Caenorhabditis elegans: one gene and its partner. The protein of the gene in region 1 purifies or fractionates together with the protein of each later gene. This does not show direct contact. Each region holds a gene or a part of one and is shown in the gene's direction. Other genes may lie near its edges.

Region 1 (7,883 bases):
TTTATCTGTGGAGTTTCTGCGTTGAGCAAAGATGAAATGAAGAAACATAAGATCACACATATCATAAATGCAACAACAGAAGTTCCAAATCTCAGAAGTCTTGGAGACATTCAACGTACAAAACTTTGGCTTGAAGATACTCCACAGACATATATCTATCCACATCTTGAACTTCAATCTGATCAGATTCAAGCACTCATTGCTGATGGGGGAAAAGTTCTCGTGCACTGTGTCGCCGGAGTGTCACGTTCTGCTTCCATCTGTTTGGCTTTCTTGCTCAAATATCGGTATGTCATCTTGTTTTAGTTAGAACCAAAAATAGTCCAGAAACTCAGTGCTTTCCCCTATTATAAATTCTATTGGACATGTGCTTTCATGTGATATCATAAGTATCCAATAAATGGGAAGAGAGCACGTGCCGGAAAACAAAAACTAATGAATCTGATGTTTTCCCATGAACTAAAATAGAATGCACATATTGATTTTTGATCTATTTCCAGTTGCCGAAATCTTCGTGAAGCTTATCATTTGATGAAATCAAAGCGTTCAATGGTTCGTCCAAATCTTGGTTTCTGGCGCCAACTTATTGCTTATGAACAGGTATGTAACTGAAAGTTAAAGACATAAACACTCAAAATCTAGTTTGATCATTCTTATTTTCTTATCATTAGGTCCAAAGTTTATAATTTGTATCTTACAGAACGTCAAAGAAAATGCTGGTTCTGTTCGATTGGTGAGAGATGAAGCTCAACCAGAACAATTACTTCCCGATGTTTATCTTAATATTGCAATTCCAGCTAGACCAGCTGTAAGTTTACAAATCATATTTCAAACTACAGAAATTGACCCTTTTAATTTTCAGAGCCCGGAGCAAGATCCAAATATGATCCCAGATGAGCCACGAGAACGCCGAAATTCTGGATTCAAATCTAAATTCCGTCCAGTGCTTGAACCTGTGATGGAAATGGCTGAAGCTGTTTGCTGATTATCATTATTTTCCATATTTCATATCATATTTTCTTGTTTTTTTTCTGTTTTCCTCCCTTTCCACCTCCCACCATGCACACCAATTAGGCGCAATTACCACTTTTTTTCCCTGAAACGGGTCAGTGCTTTAGTTGTTCAATTTCAATTTCTTTTCAAATGTTATTCTATTCCTCTCTCAATTATATCAGAAATACGGGTCGAAATCTGTAGTTTCCGGTGCCATGTAAATAAATTTTGAGATTTATTAATTTTATCTTCATGTTGCGAATTTCCATTCAAACACAAGTTCTCGTAAAATAATCATTAGAAAAATTGGAGATGCAGATTATTTAAAAACTATTCGGACTTTGGACTAATAAAAATACAAAAAAATCGAATTCCTCGTCCCGACTAAAAATTAACTTGTGAAAGTTTTTTCTCCCATTTTTGCCAAAAAAACCAAAGCCCAAAAGACAACAGCCCTTGTCTCACCGCGACAACGAAATTTTTGAACTATAACGCGTGCCACTTTTTTCTTATTTGTTTCTCGCTCATAGCTAAAAACTGCGAAGAAGAAGGTTAATAATTCGAAATTCGATTTCAAAATGCCGCTGCCTTCAAAGGAGCTTAAATCGTTGTGAACTACAAGTCTCGCAACGAACAGGGCAGATACGATAGCGCGCCAGAAACGTTTTTCGAATTTGAATCAATTTTCATCCCAAATGCCCAAATATTTCTGTTTTCTCATTTATTTTATATGATTCATGATGCTTTAGTCTAGTGAAACGTAATTTTAAAAAATCGAATATTTTTAACGCTGCAATTCTAACCAGAAAATCTCTTTTTTTATCTAAAAATTTAAAATCCGTGTAACCATGGTCTAAAATGTTGAAATTGTAATATTTTTCTTACAGACCATCTACCTCAAAACGATTTTAGCCTAAGATATATCAAAAATTATCCCGAATCCTCGCAACAATGGGGGACGAAGGTTATCGTGGATGGATTAAACTCGAAATTCCCTGTTCTCTGCCAGAGCGGCAAATGGGACCCATAGTTAAATGCCATGTAGCAAAATTAGAGCCAGTAAGTTAGACAATGTGTTCATCAATCATTTTTTTTGTTTTAGGCATTGAATGAATACAACATCAAGGTTTTGACAAAAGGACAGGTTCAGGTTGTCGAAGAGCAAGATTGTGAGCCGTTTTATGAAACAAATTATGAAGTTGCGACCAGCAGGTTTTCACATGATCTAATTGCGGCGATCCAGACATATTTAAAAGATTTATCAACGGTTTGTTGCTGTCGAAACTTTCTATCGTATTCGTACTTTTCCAGGATCATCTTATGCCATTCCAACGTGGAAATCTCGTTCTTCACAGTTCCGATTTTTGGTCTTCCGAATTGACATGTCATTTGGTTGATATTCCGCTTGCCGCTGTTTTCTTTGGAAATATTCAAGGCGGAACATTCATTAATCATTGGGAAGTGTCTTTCTGGGATGACGTTAGACGTCGGAAGTCGGCAAGAACGAGGAATACTGAACCAACACAAGCCGATAAAATTGGAATGAACCAAATCAAAGTGGAGTTCGAATTCGATAAAATTGATTTTATGACAGTTCACTTCAAGCACTTTGAAAATGATTTTGAGGTTGCTGATAAAGATGCGAAGAGGACCAAACAAACAGTTACCATGTATTACCAGATTACAGTATGTTTTCAATAGAATTGGGAATAAAAATCATAACAAAAACTTTCAGGTTAGGAGAACTTCTATTCGTCGGATTATTGTTGATCCTGTCGTTCAAGATTGTAATGGTTCGGATCGGATTCGTGTACATTTCGAACTTAATTGTCCTGTTCTCATTAGAAGAGCCTACCGAACGGCAAAACAGGAATCGGTGAGCACACCCAAGCCGTAAACCATGAAATTTCGCGATTATGAAATATCGAAATAAGATGTTAATTACAATTTTCAGGAAAATCGGCACTCCGTCCCACATTATCGAAGATATTTGGTGATCAATCGTGGACGAAGCGCGAATCAGTATCCAACAGCTAAAGCAATAACGGATAGTCCTGTGTTCACAATCGAGTTTGATCAATCTGTTGGGGTAATAATTCAATATGCATCAAGTTTTTACGTGTAATTATTCCAGCTCAATGAAATCTACCGCTTACTTTCAAGACTTCGCATCCGTACTGGAGTTTCCATTGAATTCGCGGACATTCCTTCGATTGACTGTCTCATTTGGAGAGAGAATCCTTATAACCGTTGGACATTCCTAAATAATCAACATCTGTCGCCCACTCATTTCTCTGCGCCTATTTACAGAGATTTCATCACGACCGCATTTCCAAAGAAACATGAAGTATGTGGCTCTCGAGAAGTTGACACCAACAGGGAAAGAAAATTCGCCATCACTTATCTCCTGGAATGTCTGATTTCGAGAGGAGCAGTGGTTAAGGATCAAATTTTGCTTGATGAAGGAATATGGCACCGATTCCTTGAAGTGATTCTCCACTACTACACGAAAGATGACAAACTTTGTGAGGCCGGACTTGAGGATTTGGTTCACATGATCGATGGTAGAAAACGAATTGGATCATTGATCAAGTGTTTCGATAGAATTTGTCAAACGAGACAGAGAAACAGTCTGGTTAATGGATTAACAACTGAAGAAATGAGAGAGGGATATCAAAGAGTTCGAAAGATTATTTTCACACCGACTCGTGTTATCTATGTGGCACCGGAGACGTTGATGGGAAATCGAGTACTGCGACGATACGACCATGATGGAACAAGAGTTCTAAGAATCACTTTCCGAGATGATGATAATCAGAAAATGCGAACGAATAAAACTTCGACTATGCTTGAAAAAACCGTCAATCAATATCTCAAAAATGGAATTACTGTTGCTGGTCGTAATTTCGGCTATTTAGGAAGCTCGAACTCACAAATGAGAGATAACGGTGCTTACTTCATGGAAAAATATTCATCATCACAGTGCAGAGAATACGAACGGATATATCAAATCAAACCACCAATCACTTTCAATCCAAAGATCCAAGCTGCTCGAAAGAATTTGGGACGATTCGAGACTATTGACAACATTCCAAAAATGATGGCTCGTCTTGGACAGTGTTTTACACAAAGCAGATTGTCAGGAGTGAATTTGGAAAGATGCACGTATATGACAACGTACGATTTGACTGGAGGAAAAAATTTGAAAGGAGATGAATACACGTTTTCTGATGGAGTTGGAATGATGAGTTATCGATTTGCTCAAATGGTCTCAGAAGTTATGGATTTTGGAAAAGGTGTTCCCAGCTGCTTTCAGGTACCATAATCTTTTCTTTGGTGTTTCTTAATAGTTTTTTTCAGTTTCGTTTCCGTGGAATGAAAGGAGTCATCTCAATCGAACCTCTTCTTGACAATCTTCGCCAGTGGTCAATTTCGTATAATATCAGCAAACCGAGCGATGACAGTTCGTGGAGCTTGAACTGTATGTTTCGCCCAAGTCAAATTAAATTTATTTCAAAGAGACACCCACGTGATCAAGTGGAAATCGTCAAGTACTCATCGCCAGTTCCAGTGGCATTAAACAAGCCATTCATCAATATTCTCGATCAAGTTTCGGAAATGCAATCCTTGGAATGTCATCGAAGAGTAACAAATCGAATCGAAGAGTTACTGGACAGACAAATGCTTTCTTTTGCCCAACAAATGGTGGATGAAACTTTTTGCAGAAATCGACTGAAGGTTTGTTATTAAATTACTGATAGTATCCTCATTACTGTTATTATTCAGGAGCTACCTCGTCGCGTAGATATTGACTACTTGAGAACAACATGGGGATTCACATTGTCTAGCGAACCATTTTTCCGATCTCTTATCAAAGCATCGATCAAGTTCTCAATCAGTAAGTTTAAACGAATGAAGCTTTTTAAACAAACCATATTTGTTACAGCCAGACAACTCCGAAAAGAACAAATTCCCATTCCGTGTGATCTCGGACGGTCAATGCTTGGAGTCGTTGACGAGACTGGGCGTCTTCAATATGGTCAAATCTTCGTACAGTATACCAAAAATCTGGCCCTGAAACTTCCACCCAAAAACGCTGCGCGACAAGTTCTTACAGGAACGGTTCTCTTGACCAAAAATCCATGCATTGTTGCCGGAGATGTTCGGATTTTCGAGGCTGTCGATATTCCAGAACTTCATCACATGTGTGATGTAGTAGTATTCCCACAACATGGACCGAGGCCTCATCCTGATGAAATGGCTGGATCTGATTTGGATGGAGATGAATATTCTATCATTTGGGATCAACAGTTGCTTCTGGACAAAAATGAAGATCCATATGATTTCACTTCAGAGAAACAGAAGGCGAGCTTTAAAGAAGATGAAATCGTGAGTTTCGTTTTAACGAGATTACATAAATATATTTAATTCTAGTCGCAATAAATAATATTTTCAGGATGACTTGATGCGTGAGTTCTATGTCAAGTACTTGAAATTGGATTCCGTTGGACAAATCTCGAATAGTCATCTTCACAATTCTGACCAATATGGATTAAACGCAAGAGTTTGCATGGATTTGGCGAAGAAAAATTGTCAAGCTGTGGACTTCACTAAGTCTGGACAACCACCTGATGAACTTGAAAGGAAATGGAGAAAAGATGAAGAAACTGGCGAAATGATTCCACCTGAAAGAGCTGAAAGAGTACCTGATTATCACATGGGAAATGACCATACTCCAATGTATGTCAGTCCAAGATTGTGTGGAAAACTGTTTCGCGAGTTCAAAGCAATTGATGATGTACTCAAAATTTCGGAAGAACGAGACGAGCAAGTGGAGATTTCTATAGATGAAACTATCAAAATTGATGGATATACGGAATATATGGCTAGTGCAAAAAACGATTTAGCAAGATATAATGCTCAGTTGAGAGTGAGTTTTAGGAGAAATAGTTGAAAGATGACCATGTTTTTTCAGTCAATGATGGAAAACTATGGAATCAAAACAGAAGGTGAAGTCTTCTCAGGATGCATTGTTGACATGCGAAACAGAATTTCGGATAAGGATCAAGATGATATGTCATTCTTCAACACAAACCAGATGATCGAGACGAAATTGACAAATTTGTTCAAGAAATACCGAGAGATATTTTTTGAAGTAAAGCTTTCCTAAGCCAGTTACATATGTGTACATGCGTAATTTCAGGAATTCGAAGGCGGCTGGGAAGGTAACACAGAAGCATTCTCTCGTTACGGACGTGATAGTAATATTCTTCAACGACAATGTCGTGCTCCGACAGTGCAGATGATGAAAAAGGCCGTAGCTTGGTACAGAGCTTGCTATGGTTAGTTGGATAACTTGAAATAAAAATAAATACTATTTTAATTTCAGAGGAAGCTCGAATAACTCGAGAAAACAAGAAATTGTCGTTCGCTTGGCTCGCATATGACGTCATCGCAAAAGTGAAACAAGACAAAAGTCTTACAAGTGACGAAGTTAAGATGGGTGGAGCAAATCCATTGTACACAATGCTTGACGACCACAGATCTCAGTATCTTGTCGATAACTCGAGAAAATTCGAAGCTTTTCGACAATTTTCAACACCTAAAACTAGTGGAGAACAAGTGAAACGAGCTCATAGAATCATCAAAATGTACACAGAAACTTATCCAGGATTGGATGCAGTCTTATTCATGTTAGACGAATGGGCACGGATTTCAAATCTATTTGAAAATCAATCACTTCGAGAATATCATTTATCACTGCTATTTATCCTGTTTGCTACAAGGCAATTTTCTTCCGTTGATGGAAATGCTGCCAAGTTCTTCAATAAGGTCGATGAGAAAAGTTACAAGCAGAGTAAAACAATTGGAGACTTTGAGCCCAGTTTATATATTGAGGAAAAAGGAAAAAGTCAGATGGTGAGAAGAATATTTGTGTTATTTTTTTTATAATAATGACTGTTTTCAGATGGTGAAGTTTCTCGAATTTTTGGCCTCGCGAAAGTTCCGAAAAATGGCGAATCTCTCATTCTGTGCTCTTGATTTCTCATCAATTTTCATGCGAGGAGAATGGCAAATTTTCCATTTGGCCGCACTCAAAACCTACTACAACGTGTTATTCAATTTACGATTCGAAGAACTTCCTGTGTCAACTGATCCAACAACTACAGTTCGTTCAATAATTCGAGAAAACGAACCGTTCGTGATTGAATTACCAGCCAATTGTGATCGTTCATTGGTTCATCGCAAGCTGGTAGAGCATACTGGTGTAAAAGAGATATTCATGCGAAACATGGAGAAATCAGTTCGCTCTTCGGATGATGTGCAAAAAATCAATAGTGAGTTAACAAAATCGAATGGTAAACAGATTTAATTTTCAAATTATTATAGTGCGTCTTCTGGTTTCTACACGTGGAACTCTCGAGTCAATGTACAAGTTGCGTCAACTGGTTGCTGTAAAAGTTCCCATCAAAACGTACGTAACGGGACAAGATGTGTCTACACAGATGGCTCGATTGTGCTATGAAAAGATTGTCAGAGGACACATCAACATCTAGAATGTTTCTCTTATTCGTTTTTAGCAGTGTTTTCAGAGATTTTAAATGTTTAATATGGTTTTCATTTTAAATTTTATTTTTCTGTTTTTTTTTTGCATGTTTTAATTGGCATGCTTATTTCTGTTTCTTTTTCTCATTATATTTTCCTGTTGTTTCTTTTGCTGATTGATTGAAATGGATAGGTTTCTCCTTCTTTTCATCGTTTTCAGCGTTTCGGTTATCTGTTTCAATGAATTGTCTGTTTTATTACGAATCCGATATTTGTATTTTATTTGTTATATGCGTTTTTTCGTACATGATTTTCCTATTGGATAGAATATAGCCAGATTTCTT
Region 2 (4,879 bases), on another chromosome or scaffold:
TCCTCCGCTCTACCAACTGAGCTATCGACTGCACGCCGTTTTCCTCTGTTGAGAGAAAAGACCTGGCGGGAACAGAAAGTGTCAGTCATATAGAGCATTTTCATATGCGAAGTGTATAAAATTTATATTTCTACAAGAAGTTGCCTAAAATAGCCACAAAAATAGTGTTTTCGAATTTTCTTCAATAAAGGGATGTGGCTCAAAAACGTTGAGTTCCATCAATCATTAGGCATTTGGCAGGAAGAAAAGATTAGCTACAGCAAAAAAAGATAGAAAAGTAGTATAAGTATTTATTTTTCAAATACATTTTCCAGTCCGAATTCGGTCAACTACACGGGGCCATTAACCAGAACATCAACTATGGATACTGTTGAGTTGGAGGCATTGTTGAGGAGAGAACAACATTTCGTTGTACCATCGTACAGTGAAGTTATGCTCATGCAAAATACGATTGCTAATTCAAATGTAAGGTTTTTTTTAAATATTAAAATTTTAAGATCATTTGCTCCTGATAAATATTTATTAATCGCTCTGATAATATTGTAGACCAATTATCCAAATATTCGATGCCTGGACCCTGTGATTCTTCCACGACCATTCGTGAGTACAACTAACGAACATATCGTACTTCGGAACTATGGAGCAACAGAAACCGACAATTCACTATCTGAGCCCATTACAGCAACGCCGAGACCTCTTAGAGTTAGCCGAAGTATGACATTTGCTGCTCAAGGAAATCTCGAAGAATCAGCTGAGAATCTGAGTTGTTTAGAAAACGGAAGTAGAGCAAATCGTGCTATTCCATCGAGTCGGCGGAATTTGCCGTTACGTTCGTTATCGATAGGTGGTATTTCTGCTTGGTCCAATGGTTACAGAGAAATTGGAAATCCTGATGATTCACAACTACTCATTGAACCAGATGAACCACCTCCACCATATGAGGTCGGTTTTCAATTTATAATGGAAATGACAATTTATTTCTCAGGTTGCTCTCAGAATGTGTGCTCCATTATATGAACGCCTACGACGATCAATATCTTCACGATTGGCTTCAATTTCTCACTCGAGCTCGAAGGATTTGAAGTCGCTAACTTTGAAAAGTAGTTCTAGTAACAATAATAACAATAATTCAAACAACAATAATAACGATGATCCAGAACATCCATAAAATCGGGTATTTTTTCACATGCGGACCAATTTTAAGAATTGTTAAACGTTGGTGCTTGAAATAAATAATTTTTCTGATTTTTTTTTATTTTCAAGTTTAAAAAAATTGTGTTTCAAGTTATTCGATTAAAAGCGTTGTTTTTATTGCCTTATTAAATGGTAAAAAGCAATCAATTTTTAAAGGAGCGTCCACTGAATACGAGGAGATGGTCTCGGCACGAAATATAAAAAACTACAGTACCCTTGGAAGTATTGGCGCGGAAATTTTTTTTTATTCAGTTATTTATCTGTTCAGTTTTCGTATTTTTGATGTTAAAACTCCATTTTTCTCTTCAAAATTTGTATTAAAAATCACTGGGCAACGCATTTTCACTATTACAGAAGTATTTTTGATGAAATCTTCAAGAAATTCACATGTTTCTTTGTTTAAAATTTTAGGATTTGACGGTTTCGGTTTTTAGGCCAAAAAACTCCGTTACCAGTTTTAATTTCGTTCTGATTCCGTGAGGCAATGCTTCACTAATCACATTTTTCACGAAATACAAAGTCTTGCTTGAAAATTTAACAAAAAACTCCAATACTCTCGCAAAATCTTGAATATGGCCATTTTATTTGATGTAATTATTTCTTTTACAGATAAATACTTCAAACCAACCAATCCATCTATCTGACAAGCTAATGTCCAGAGATAAACCACCTCAACGTGAGGTTGGCGGACGTCGGTTGCCCTACGAAATGGGTTCGTTGAAGTTCGACGAAGACCCGTTCCGCGGACAGCGCCGGCGTCCGTGGATGTGCTTCAGAATCGGCTATCCGACAAGCGAGTTCTCATCAGAGCACTTCATGTACGTTCAAATTATTCAAAAATTATTGAAAAAACGTATTGTTTCAGGAAATTCGTGAAAAGGTGTCACACTTCGATGATAGAAGTAGGTATTCTTCTCGATGATGAACGGGAATTCCTGCAATATCAAGAAGTCAGGGAAGATTATCTTCTTCTGAAAAAGCTCATCGAGGAAGGTCTGCAGAAGTGTGAAACGATCTATGAAAAAGGACCGCTGTCGACTCCGGTTGTTTTTTTCATTTTAGACCAGTGCGGTAAGAAAAGTAAATTATACATAACGTGTATAAATATTCACTCATACAGACGAAGACGAAGTCCAAAACATGCTGGATATGTTTAGGGAGTCTTGTTATATCTTCCATATGAAACGCAACGAAATTCTCAACTGGATCAACGAAATGGAGTATGAAGAACTGGAGTGAGTAAATGTTCAGCATAACGTCGAAAAAATTCATATTTCAGAAGTGACTGCTCTAAATTTGCACAGTTCATCAAAGGAGTGGAAAATCTGACGGAATCCATCGCGATGCCCATGGAGGTAGAAACAGAGTAGGCTATCTAGAAGGAAAAAATAATTAAAAAACATCTAACTTTCATAGAGAATTCATCTTTGGAAAGAGTTCGATTGTATCGACCGAAGACTTTGTTGAAGACGCCCCTCACAAGCAGATCGCACAAGATCAACGCGAAACAAGGTATCGTTACCATGTTGTAAACTTTCTATTCAAAAATTTTGCAATATCTCTTCGTTCATATTAGACTTATGGCCTAGCTATTTCTTTCTTTTTCCACACGTCCAACATAGATAGACAGTTCGAGACGTAGAGAAAAACAGAAAAACCGTGACTAGTTGCTTCCCCTGTGATTGATATGCTTTTTTTTCACAAATTCGAAAAAAATAATCTGAATAAGCATGTTTTCACATCAGAATTTGTTAAACAGTGTGTTTGGAAATACTGAAATATTCCCTTGACTCGCAGGATTTAACGAATAATTATTTCAAAATTTTCGATTGTTTTTCTCAATAACATCAATAATTTTTCCTGAATTCCTGATATTGCTTTTAAAAATATATAATAGAATTGGTGACCTTTGTTAAATCATTGATAATCGCAGTGGCTTTTGTTTTTATTCTCGTTTCATAAACAACGTGAATCGTGGTAGCGGAAAAAAAACCACATTTATCGTGTTCCCATCTTTCCCCAGAAACCTGGCCGCGTTCCTTTTCACTGTAGTAAACGCGGATTTTTGTGGGCATACTGATTTCGTTAGAAAATACTTTTTCTTAAAATGCTAGAGCTCTCCGCGTTCTCTCATAATGTATAATTAAATTATCTTGTTTCAGACCAATTCGCCAACCGTATTCAATGGTCAGAAACCTCGCCCCCCCAGGGCTCCCGCCGCCTGGAATTTCGATTTCAAACAGTTCGCCTCCTGGATTATCTTCAGTTTCGCCAATTCCCCGAGCAGATACACGCGAATCCCGTTATTCCACCCCTCAACCACCCGGATTGTCAATTCCAGCACCACCTGGAATATCTCTTCCAACTCCACCAGGAATATCTCTTCAAAATCATCAGAATGATCAATTCGAGCAAGCTCATAGTACCATTTCGAGAATGAGCGAGAATAGTTCATCTTCGAGGCGTCGATTCCGCGATGAAGAAGTTCAGGAAGAAGAAGGAGATCATATTCTATCGTCTGAAGATGTACATGCTGCGCGGAACGTGTGTGAAACCAAAATCCTTGTTAGAGGAGTTCCGCAAAAGAACGATTCTGAGTTGGTAAGATCTATTCATTTTTGTGATAAACTGCAACCTGTGAGTTATTTCGGCAATTTCCGGAAAACTAATCTTCAATAAACACGAAATTAATATTAAAATTTTAATTTTCAGTCCAAGCTCATCAACGGATCAAAACTATACGTACGGTTCGAACGTCCGTTTGTAAAACTAGCTCACAATCTAGAACTTCTCTACGTTGTCAATTATGCTATCAGTTCTCGAAAAAGTATTGTTCGGGATCACAGTAAAGCAATTATTCGCGGATTGTTCGAAAAGGATTTTCTACTGAAGCTCAAAAGTAAATTCCTGGAAAGCTCGTTTGACAATGACACGTGGACTCCCGAGGGTACAGAATTGCTATTCGAAATCTTTCATTTGTTTTTCACAACGGCTCGATACAAGGGTGGATTCATGCTGACACTTCCGAGATTTGTAAGTTGAAATAAACTGAAAATTTTAAAAGTAAACATTATTATAGGCGCCGTCTTGGCATGATTTCTCGATGGCTTTCGATATTGCTGACATGGATGGACTTGAGGAAGCTGGTGTGGGTGATGATGAGCTTAGAAATCTTAGGAGGCTGATTGGTTACATTGAAACATGGATCAAACGGGCAGAACGGGAACGAAACCCCAGTCCATTGGCGCTGCGGTCATATTCAGTGTACGAAAAAGCTGGTTCTTCTGACAGTGGACGCCAAGTTTTATCTGAAAGTCGAGGTGCAGGTTCCAGCAATGTTTATGGTCATGACGAGGTGGATTTCGTCGATCACAGACGCAGAGACGAGTTCGGACATCGTGATAACTACCGGACAGAAAACCGTCGCCATAAAAGCCCGGACAATTTTGGAGAAGTTCACAGAAGGCTCGATGAGCAACAACAACAACGACATGAGGATGAATCATCAAGATATCGCGATGACTCGAGACAGTCTCGACGAGCAGATGATAGAAGAGATCAATATCAGTACAACGAATCAACATCTATGGAAAATCACTTGGGGTTTCACAACGGCGGTGGCACCGTCAGTGAGCACTCACGAGATGATAAATTCGTTTCGCCTCAAAATTGTGAAGAAAAACGC

What was found. The genes of interacting proteins can lie anywhere in the genome.
Region 2: the proteins of ego-1 (region 1) and znfx-1 purify together in Caenorhabditis elegans (affinity purification with western blotting, with the first as the bait; one study listed by BioGRID). This does not show direct contact.

What each region holds. Positions count from the first base shown.
Region 1 is NC_003279.8:7,650,334-7,658,216, reverse strand, and holds ego-1 (RNA-directed RNA polymerase), read left to right. Parts: upstream 1-1,878; 5' UTR 1,879-1,944; coding exon 1,945-2,052; intron 2,053-2,095; coding exon 2,096-2,260; intron 2,261-2,304; coding exon 2,305-2,679; intron 2,680-2,728; coding exon 2,729-2,869; intron 2,870-2,947; coding exon 2,948-3,082; intron 3,083-3,127; coding exon 3,128-4,309; intron 4,310-4,353; coding exon 4,354-4,731; intron 4,732-4,779; coding exon 4,780-4,891; intron 4,892-4,939; coding exon 4,940-5,382; intron 5,383-5,449; coding exon 5,450-5,923; intron 5,924-5,968; coding exon 5,969-6,148; intron 6,149-6,196; coding exon 6,197-6,335; intron 6,336-6,382; coding exon 6,383-6,912; intron 6,913-6,961; coding exon 6,962-7,331; intron 7,332-7,383; coding exon 7,384-7,550; 3' UTR 7,551-7,876; downstream 7,877-7,883. Other genes in the region: F26A3.4 (Protein-tyrosine-phosphatase), read left to right, coding at 1-287, 501-600, 701-808, 863-985.
Region 2 is NC_003280.10:9,211,857-9,216,735, forward strand, and holds the start of znfx-1 (NFX1-type zinc finger-containing protein 1 homolog), read left to right. Parts: upstream 1-1,845; coding exon 1,846-2,012; intron 2,013-2,059; coding exon 2,060-2,265; intron 2,266-2,314; coding exon 2,315-2,429; intron 2,430-2,473; coding exon 2,474-2,560; intron 2,561-2,610; coding exon 2,611-2,706; intron 2,707-3,356; coding exon 3,357-3,795; intron 3,796-3,906; coding exon 3,907-4,227; intron 4,228-4,273; coding exon 4,274-4,879. Other genes in the region: ZK1067.4 (Transmembrane protein 151 homolog), read left to right, coding at 315-465, 547-942, 986-1,168. UniProt on the Caenorhabditis elegans protein: Epigenetic inheritance factor which, in association with the Argonaute protein wago-4, mediates small RNA-directed transgenerational epigenetic inheritance and thus balances the transgenerational inheritance of epigenetic information.